Zea mays: one gene and its partner. The protein of the gene in region 2 interacts with the protein of the main gene of each other region in a biochemical or structural test. Links are inferred from orthologs where the notes say so. Each region holds a gene or a part of one and is shown on either strand. Other genes may lie near its edges.

Evidence for each region.
Region 1: the proteins of Flowering time control protein FCA-like (region 2) and WD repeat-containing protein 33 form a complex in vitro, tested with the Arabidopsis thaliana proteins (3 studies listed by BioGRID). The link is inferred for Zea mays from reciprocal best matches to the Arabidopsis thaliana genes FCA and FY.

Annotation. Positions count from the first base shown.
Region 1 is NC_050098.1:151,290,969-151,294,795, reverse strand, and holds part of WD repeat-containing protein 33, read right to left. Parts: intron 3,716-3,827; coding exon 3,620-3,715; intron 3,543-3,619; coding exon 3,460-3,542; intron 3,363-3,459; coding exon 3,291-3,362; intron 3,211-3,290; coding exon 3,113-3,210; intron 2,654-3,112; coding exon 2,594-2,653; intron 2,526-2,593; coding exon 2,465-2,525; intron 2,392-2,464; coding exon 2,304-2,391; intron 2,112-2,303; coding exon 2,048-2,111; intron 1,819-2,047; coding exon 1,740-1,818; intron 1,554-1,739; coding exon 1,464-1,553; intron 1,293-1,463; coding exon 1,204-1,292; intron 948-1,203; coding exon 484-947; intron 1-483.
Region 2 is NC_050097.1:167,394,630-167,398,456, forward strand, and holds part of Flowering time control protein FCA-like, read left to right. Parts: intron 1-866; coding exon 867-918; intron 919-1,861; coding exon 1,862-1,929; intron 1,930-2,139; coding exon 2,140-2,206; intron 2,207-2,286; coding exon 2,287-2,366; intron 2,367-2,439; coding exon 2,440-2,504; intron 2,505-2,639; coding exon 2,640-2,702; intron 2,703-3,827. UniProt on the Arabidopsis thaliana protein: Plays a major role in the promotion of the transition of the vegetative meristem to reproductive development. Plays a role in the regulation of flowering time in the autonomous flowering pathway by decreasing FLOWERING LOCUS C mRNA levels.

The DNA of each region.
Region 1 (3,827 bases), on a different chromosome or scaffold from region 2:
GCTGGAAGGAAAAAAACTAACCCTAGCTCTCTGATACCATGTTGGAATGTGAACCCTAACCCTAACAGGGGTTGGGTGATGTATTAATAGGCTGAGTAAACTGGGCCAGGCCCATTACAGAGGGGTGAGATGGTCATTACACGGGGAAGACCCAAACCCTAAACGGGTATTCTAACAATTCTTCACCTTAAACTCAGATGTATTCATGTGTCATATCAAATTCATACATATTCATGCTTATCTCAAACTAAAGCAGACATGCTAACAATTTTGAAGGTCAATTGGAGTTTTTTTTTCTTTGAGAAAAAAAAACAAGTTCACTGAAAACGGTCTTTTGATGCAAACTTGCAAGGTTTGCAGACGAGGCATTTGGTTTTCGATTATCACTTATCAGCTCAGATAAATAGAAAGACAGAACATGCTAAGTAAACAGTTGTACCTCCCTCAGTTTAACAACGTTGTAAAGGTATCAATGAACAGTACCGTTGGGTGAGGCATAGGCGGAAGCGGTGGGTTCACTTGTGATGGCACTGATGGTCCACCCATTGGTGGAAGCTGGGGAAGAGTAGGCCGAGATCCTTGTGAATGTGAAAGCATGTGAGCTGGTGCCTGCAGTTGGGGCATGTTCGGAGGTGGTGGCTGCGAAAACTGGGGATGTTGCTGCTGAGGTATCTGTTGATACTGTTGTTGCTGCCCAAGAAGTGATGGATGAGGACCTGGTGGCAGCGGGGGTTGCCCAGGTGGAAGACCCGGAATAGATGGCCTCTGCTCTCCATCAGATCCATCAAAAGACTGGCCTGCCAAGGTCATTGCAACCCCAATGCCAGGGATGGTACCTTCATTGCGTGACAATCCAGGAGCAAATGGTCCAGGCGTTATTGGAGGTTCAGGCATCTGGAATCCACCCATACCACGAGCACCAAAAGCAGCATGTTGGTCACCAAAACCTGAAAAAAGTCATAATCTATGCATTAAGAATTCCTTCTTTGGAAGGAAAAGGTCACAAGGCAGCACATAAACACCATTAAACACCTGTCTGTGTGAAGCAAGTAATAGACGAACTAAATAGTGATATTGGAAGGGGGTGTATACAATTATACATGTACATGCAAGTGCAAGAGTATATGTCTAATATGTTATTGTTTTATGACCAAAACAGGACAAATGAGATGAAATAACGAGCTAAATTCAAATAAAGGCAACCTTGCATTTGGCCACTGTTGTATCTATCACGGGTAAGATCACCAGGCCTGTTTCTACACCAGAACTTTGTAGCGTGATCATTGCCTCCACTACAAAATAAATCAAATATTTGATTTTTAATGAGTTCACATACAACTAAAGCATTAAACAAATGAAACAAATTGTATTGAAAATAAATTCAGATTATGTATGCATTACAGTAAAATAAGCAAACATGTCATAAAGTGTTACAATACAAAATTCAAAAGCAAGCCAAGTACCTGCAAAGTAGATAGCCTACAGGATGCCACGAAAGATCCCAGACACTACTGTCATGTGCATTACTTATTTCAATCTGTGGAGCTTCATGGCTGACAAAAAAATGAAACAGCTTGCTCATCAAGTTGAGACTTGAGACATTATTTTCAGACAACAAAAGACATAAAAAGTTGTACGTCGATCTTGGAGGGTGAAAAGAATTGAATAACTTAGCACAAAGTAGCAAATTCCAAGGGTGACAAAGATCAGTAATTTCAATTATGCTATGGATACCTTACCCGACTAACCAATGAAATATAGCTCCATCAAAGCTCCCACTAACAAAATATTCTTCATGAAATGGGTGCCACGCCAATGCTGTAAAAATGAAGTAACCGAATACATATTCAGTACAACCTTGGCAAACAAGTGTGGGCACCATACCTTTCTAGAAATTTTTTAGCCACTGTTCTAACAATCATAGAATGTATGGTTACAATGAACAAATGAACTAGTACATCCAAAACTTGTGTCAATTTTTGAAGCTTAAAATATGTGAAGGGGTATATAAATTATAAAAATCTTGATATTGGAACAGCTATCTAACCAGTGACGTCCTTGGTGTGCCCACGGAAGGATTGCAGCTCTTTCATGGATCTAATATCATACAGCTGCAAAACGAATTAGTGATAGCATTAGCAAACGTACCAAAAGTTAATAATTTACTGCCATCATTTGCTCACAAGGATGGATTGGCCCATCTCCATAGACAGCACTAGAATTTTGGTTATAGCGTGTACACTGCCATCAGTTCTTTGAAGACAAGAAAAACAGACCAAAGTACAAAAGAACAAGCAACAGACCTTAATAATCTGATCCTTCGAGGCAGTCAGTACCCAGTTCCCATTCTGATTCCACTTCACGCAATGCACAATATTTTTATGACCATGGCTGCAGATATAAATCATAATGTAACACAGATCTTCAAGAATTAACAAAATATGGAAGTGGCAGGAATACCGACAATGAGCTCAGCTCTCTGCCACTTTTTGCATCCCAAAGTTTCACAAGATAGTCTTTGCCACCTATGGACACAGAATTGAATAAGTCCCGCATGAATAAACTCATTAAACAAGAACAAACATATACTAACCTGAAACCAGTAAAGACTTTGTAGGATGCCAATCGACAGTTTTAACATCCCAACCGTGGCCTGGCTGAGTTGAAGGGAAATTCAGGTTATTTGATGAAAAAACAAAGTAATATCACATAATAAAAACTCGACCCACGGGGTAAGACAGCCCCCAGGTATTACATTAAGAAGATCTTCTCACGCAGGTCGAGAAAACCCCGAACCCCTACCCCACCCATACGCAGCGGCACCGTAGCCCACCCATACACCGCGGCACCGTAGCCCATGTGAGAACGACCGCGAGTCCATGACCAGGGCCGAGCCTTAGGCCTGTGCTTTAGCGTGGGACAGACGAGAGGGTTTTTTTAACCTCAACCTAAAATTCGCTCACACGGGGAGTCAAACTCAAGACCTGAGAAGTGCTACTCAGACCACCTAACCAACACAGCTAAAGGCCCTTTCGCGTAATATCACATAATAACTTCAAATAATCAGCTGTATGCCAGATTAATATTTGCAAGAAAATTTTAGCAACATTACCAGTTAATGATTTTTCCTCTTGGCATCTTGCGAAGTCCCAAACCTTCACTGTTCGGTCATCGGAGCAGGAGCAGAATTTTAAGTCTGTCCTGGAAAAACTGTTTGAAGGACATGTTTCAGCACACATTGAACATGAACTTTGTAGCAAACAATAAAAAGTGCATCATACAGCCATCACCTTAAACCACGAACTGATTCTCTATGAGCTGTTTTATTCACTTTGACGTTGTTCATGTTACTTTGCCAATACCTGGAGAAGAATTCAAAAGGTTCAGCTGAAGAGTTAAACAATGTACAGTTCAAAATGACGATTTTTCTTGAAGGTACGAAAGCGAAGGGACATGTACTTGATTGCACCACCATCATCTCCCGTCACCATCCAGTTTTCATTGTGACTCCAAACCATTGATCTCACAGGTAGATCATGAGCCTGATTGTCAGATTTCTCCAAAAACTAAGTTAAAACTATCACATATTAGTAAGTCCAAAATAATTAATGTGGAATACCTGAAGTATCATTTCAAAGTTAAAAGATTGCCCATTCCATAGCGTAAATTCACCACTTTGTGATCCAGTGATAAGTCGACGGCCTGTAGGGGTCCACTTTATCCACAAATAAAATTGTATTATACCCCAAGTGGATGAAAATAATAGAAGTGGATGGATGTTGATTAAAGTGATAATTATGCTACAGATTGTCATAATCAACAAACTA
Region 2 (3,827 bases):
CAGTGACCCCGTTGCCTATCGGAGCCTTATTGACGTTCTTCAATACTTCACCTTTACCAAACCCGACATTGCGTATGTGGTCTAGCAGGTATGTATCTGCATGCACGATCCCCGGGAGTCGCGCGGTCAAGTGGATCCTCTGGTACCTTGAGGGTACTGTTGACTACTGGCTTCTTCGTTGCTCCTCCACACTTGAGCTTGTTGTCTACACCGACTCTGATTGGGCTGGGTGCCTGGACACCTGTCGGTCCACCTTCGGCTACACGGTGTTCCTTGGGGATAACCTCTTCTCTTGGTCCTCCAAGCGGTAGCCCGGGATTCCCACTCTAGTGTTAAGGCCGAGTACCGGGCTGTTGCTAATGGTGTGGTTGAGGCGTGCTGGCTACGCTAGCTCCTTCTGGAGCTTTACAACCCCCTCTTCAGGAGCACACTTATCTACCGCGACAACGTCAGCACCATCAATCTCTTTATCAACCCCCGTCCAACATCAGCGAATGAATCATGTTGAGATCTATCTTCACTTCGTCCGTGAGCACGTGGCCGTCAAGGATGTTCGTGTTCATCATGTCACGACGCACTCGCAGTTTGTCGACATTTTCACTAAGGGTCTTCCCTTGTTCTTGGATTTTCGATCCAGTCAACATTTGTCGTGGCTAGAGTTTCGAATGCAGGGGGTGTTAGATTATGTGTGTGTTATGGGCCTAGAGCCCAGCCAATTAGGGGTAGACTATATGTACCTCTTGTAACACTGAAGCCCATCTATAGATTAGGGTTTTCCCACACACTGTAATATGTACCTTGTAAGCTATTTGTTAAGCACTGTTCTTTATTTGCTGATTATTTACTATAAATCCTTTTATTTTTAGGCAATGGGCCCTATTCAAGTTAGATATGCTGATGGTGAAAGGGAACGACATGGTAATGCTATGATCTTTAGTAGTTTACCTATTAATGACCTGTGTATGTTGTATATTATACTGGTTTTGAGGCAACCTTAACATGCCTTGCTTTATATGCACATTTTTTTGAAAATTCTATGATTATTATTTTATTTAAACCATATGTTCAAAAGGTGCATATTCAACACTAGTTCTTTTTTCTCGACTATGCTGGAGAGATGCACATTGCATTAATAATAAGAGAGTACAAAACACCCTCTACACCCATAGTCCCACACACAAATACCTCTACATAGTGCCAGCTTCTCTAGATTTTGGCACCGTATCTCTACATGTCACTTATCACATTGTTTGTTATAGCATACTAGTATGCAAAGACAACGAAATGGGTCTCTAGCTGAGTTGGTTAGGTGATCTGAGCAGTACTCTTTAGGTCTTGAGTTTGACTCCCCGTGGGAGCGAATTTCAGGCTGGATTAAAAATAATCCCCACGTCTGTTCTACACTAAAGCATAGGTCTAAGGTTTGGCCTTGGCCGTGGTCGTTCTCATAGGCTACGGTGTCACTGTGTATGGGTGGGGCATGGGTTTGGGGGTTTTCTTGACCTTGTATGAGAGGCTCTTCTTAATACAATGCCTGGGGTTGTCTTACCCCTGAGTTTTTTAGTATGCAGTGGCAAATTTATTGTGCATTCCCAATCTTGTTTTTACATTGCACAGTTACATGTATGTGTTCCTTGATCAATTTACATGTGACTTTTATTCTGATTCTGCATTTTTTTCTTTATCTGAAAACACTATTCATTCAAGGATTCTTTATTATTTTGTTCTTGTAATCTGAGTTATGTAATCATATTTAGAAAGCAAACTAAGCTTGGTTCGTTAAAATAGTTGTTTTTCTTCAGATCTTTTGTTTGTGGTACTTATTGGGCAATCTCATCAGTTTCTGTGACAAATTTACTAGGGGCCATCGAGCACAAATTATTTGTTGCGTCCCTCAATAAGCAAGCAACTCCAAAGGAGATTGAAGAGGTAAGTAGGTTGAATTTCTTATTTTCCTTTCTGTTCCTTGATGATTTCGCGATTTGCTTATCTGAGAGGGTAGTATAGATTTAGAAAGTACTGCTCGGTGTCAATAATCAACTGTGATGCTGTACTCTTATCTGCATTTGAGGACATGATTAACACAAATTTAGTAGCTTGCTTTTCCAAGGATTGATGATAAAGGCATACAATTTTCAGATATTTGCCCCATATGGTCATGTGGAAGATGTTTACATTATGAGAGATAGCGTGAAGCAGAGCCGAGGTTTGTGAATACGTGTTTGCTTTAGTTATACTGTTCCATTGCAACCTTTTGTTTTAACTTGTAATATATGTAATATAAAGGTTGTGGCTTTGTCAAATTCTCATCAAAAGAGGCAGCAGTGGAAGCTATGAATGCCCTTAGTGGGACTTACACAATGAGGGTAAATTTCTCTGCCAACTGCCATATTGTGTTTAGCTTTCTGGATACTTATGATGTATTTGTTTCTGTATTAGGGGTGCGAGCAACCATTAATCATTAGATTTGCTGATCCTAAGAGGCCTAGACCTGGAGAATCAAGGTGATTAACAACTGTGACTGTCTTTGTTGCATATCATATGCTATTTTATTTACTCAAGATTAAGTATAATCATTTTTTTGATGAAACAAGTATAATAATTACCATTCCTATTTTCTGCTTTACCTTCCTGGTTAGGGGTCGCCCTGCATTTGGAGGTCCTGGTTTCAGTCCTCGATCGGATGCAGCACTTGTTATCAGGTGTCAGTTCACTACTTATTCAGTATTTTTTCTCAAGAACATTTAAATTAAGATGTTAATGAGATGAAACTGGCATGGTCCCCTCGCACACGAGTTGCTGATGCTAAGGGTGTCTACTGAAGTGCATTTGTCGAAACGAAATATTAACTCCGGAATAACACAATAGCTCTGAAATAATCTGCAAAAGATGTTTAGTGCGTGTTTGTTTCAGTTTAAATGCAGATTCTGATCGCCAGAAGCTGTTGTGGACTGCCAAACACCCAACTTTTTAGCCTGCTTCTATGGGAATCACTTTGGTGAAAATCATCTAAAATCAGCGTGAACACACAATCGGTCAAGTCGTCACGATAGGAGGAATCTGTCACTTCTTAGACCTAAACCCTATGGACCCCTTCATCTTTCTCCGACGTAATCCCCACGATACTCAGATTCTCCCCACAGCCAGATTCTCCCTACAGACAAATTCTCAGCAAAGCTCGTCAGAAAAAAACTGAACCAAACAAGCCCTTAGAGTAGGGATGGATAAGGTATTATGATATATAGACAACAATGAAATGACTGAAAGTGAAACAAGTGCTAGCTTCTGTGTATTTTCTACCTTACCTAATCTGTCTAAGAATCAATTGAACTAATTTCTTAATCATATCTTCTGCTCCTTTTTTATATATGTCATCTAAGTCAAGCTATTTGTTTATCTTCGAACTAATTAGCTTGTCCTAAAGGTCTAAATGGCTAAACATATTATATTTACATTTTTTTTTCAAAAACGTAGGAGAACTGTGTATCTTTATAGATAAGATAGAAGAAAGGGTCTTACAAGTGAGGTACAAGTTAGGGACACCTGCACCCACACGCACACACGGACAAACAAAACAAACAGCAGATTAAAACAAAAACAATCAATTATGGCTCGACCTGACCTCCTTAAGGGCATCAGCTAGTCCTAAGACACCTAGCTGCTTTGCCCCAGCCATCACCCAACAGGATAATTCTTTTAGGAAGCTACTTTTCATCTTTCCGAAGGAGGGTGACTCTATCAAAAACAACCTGGTTCTTCTGCAGCCATAGACACCAAGCCCCGAGTATGACAGCGCTGTTAAGGCCCTTCTTCATGTCTTTGTGACT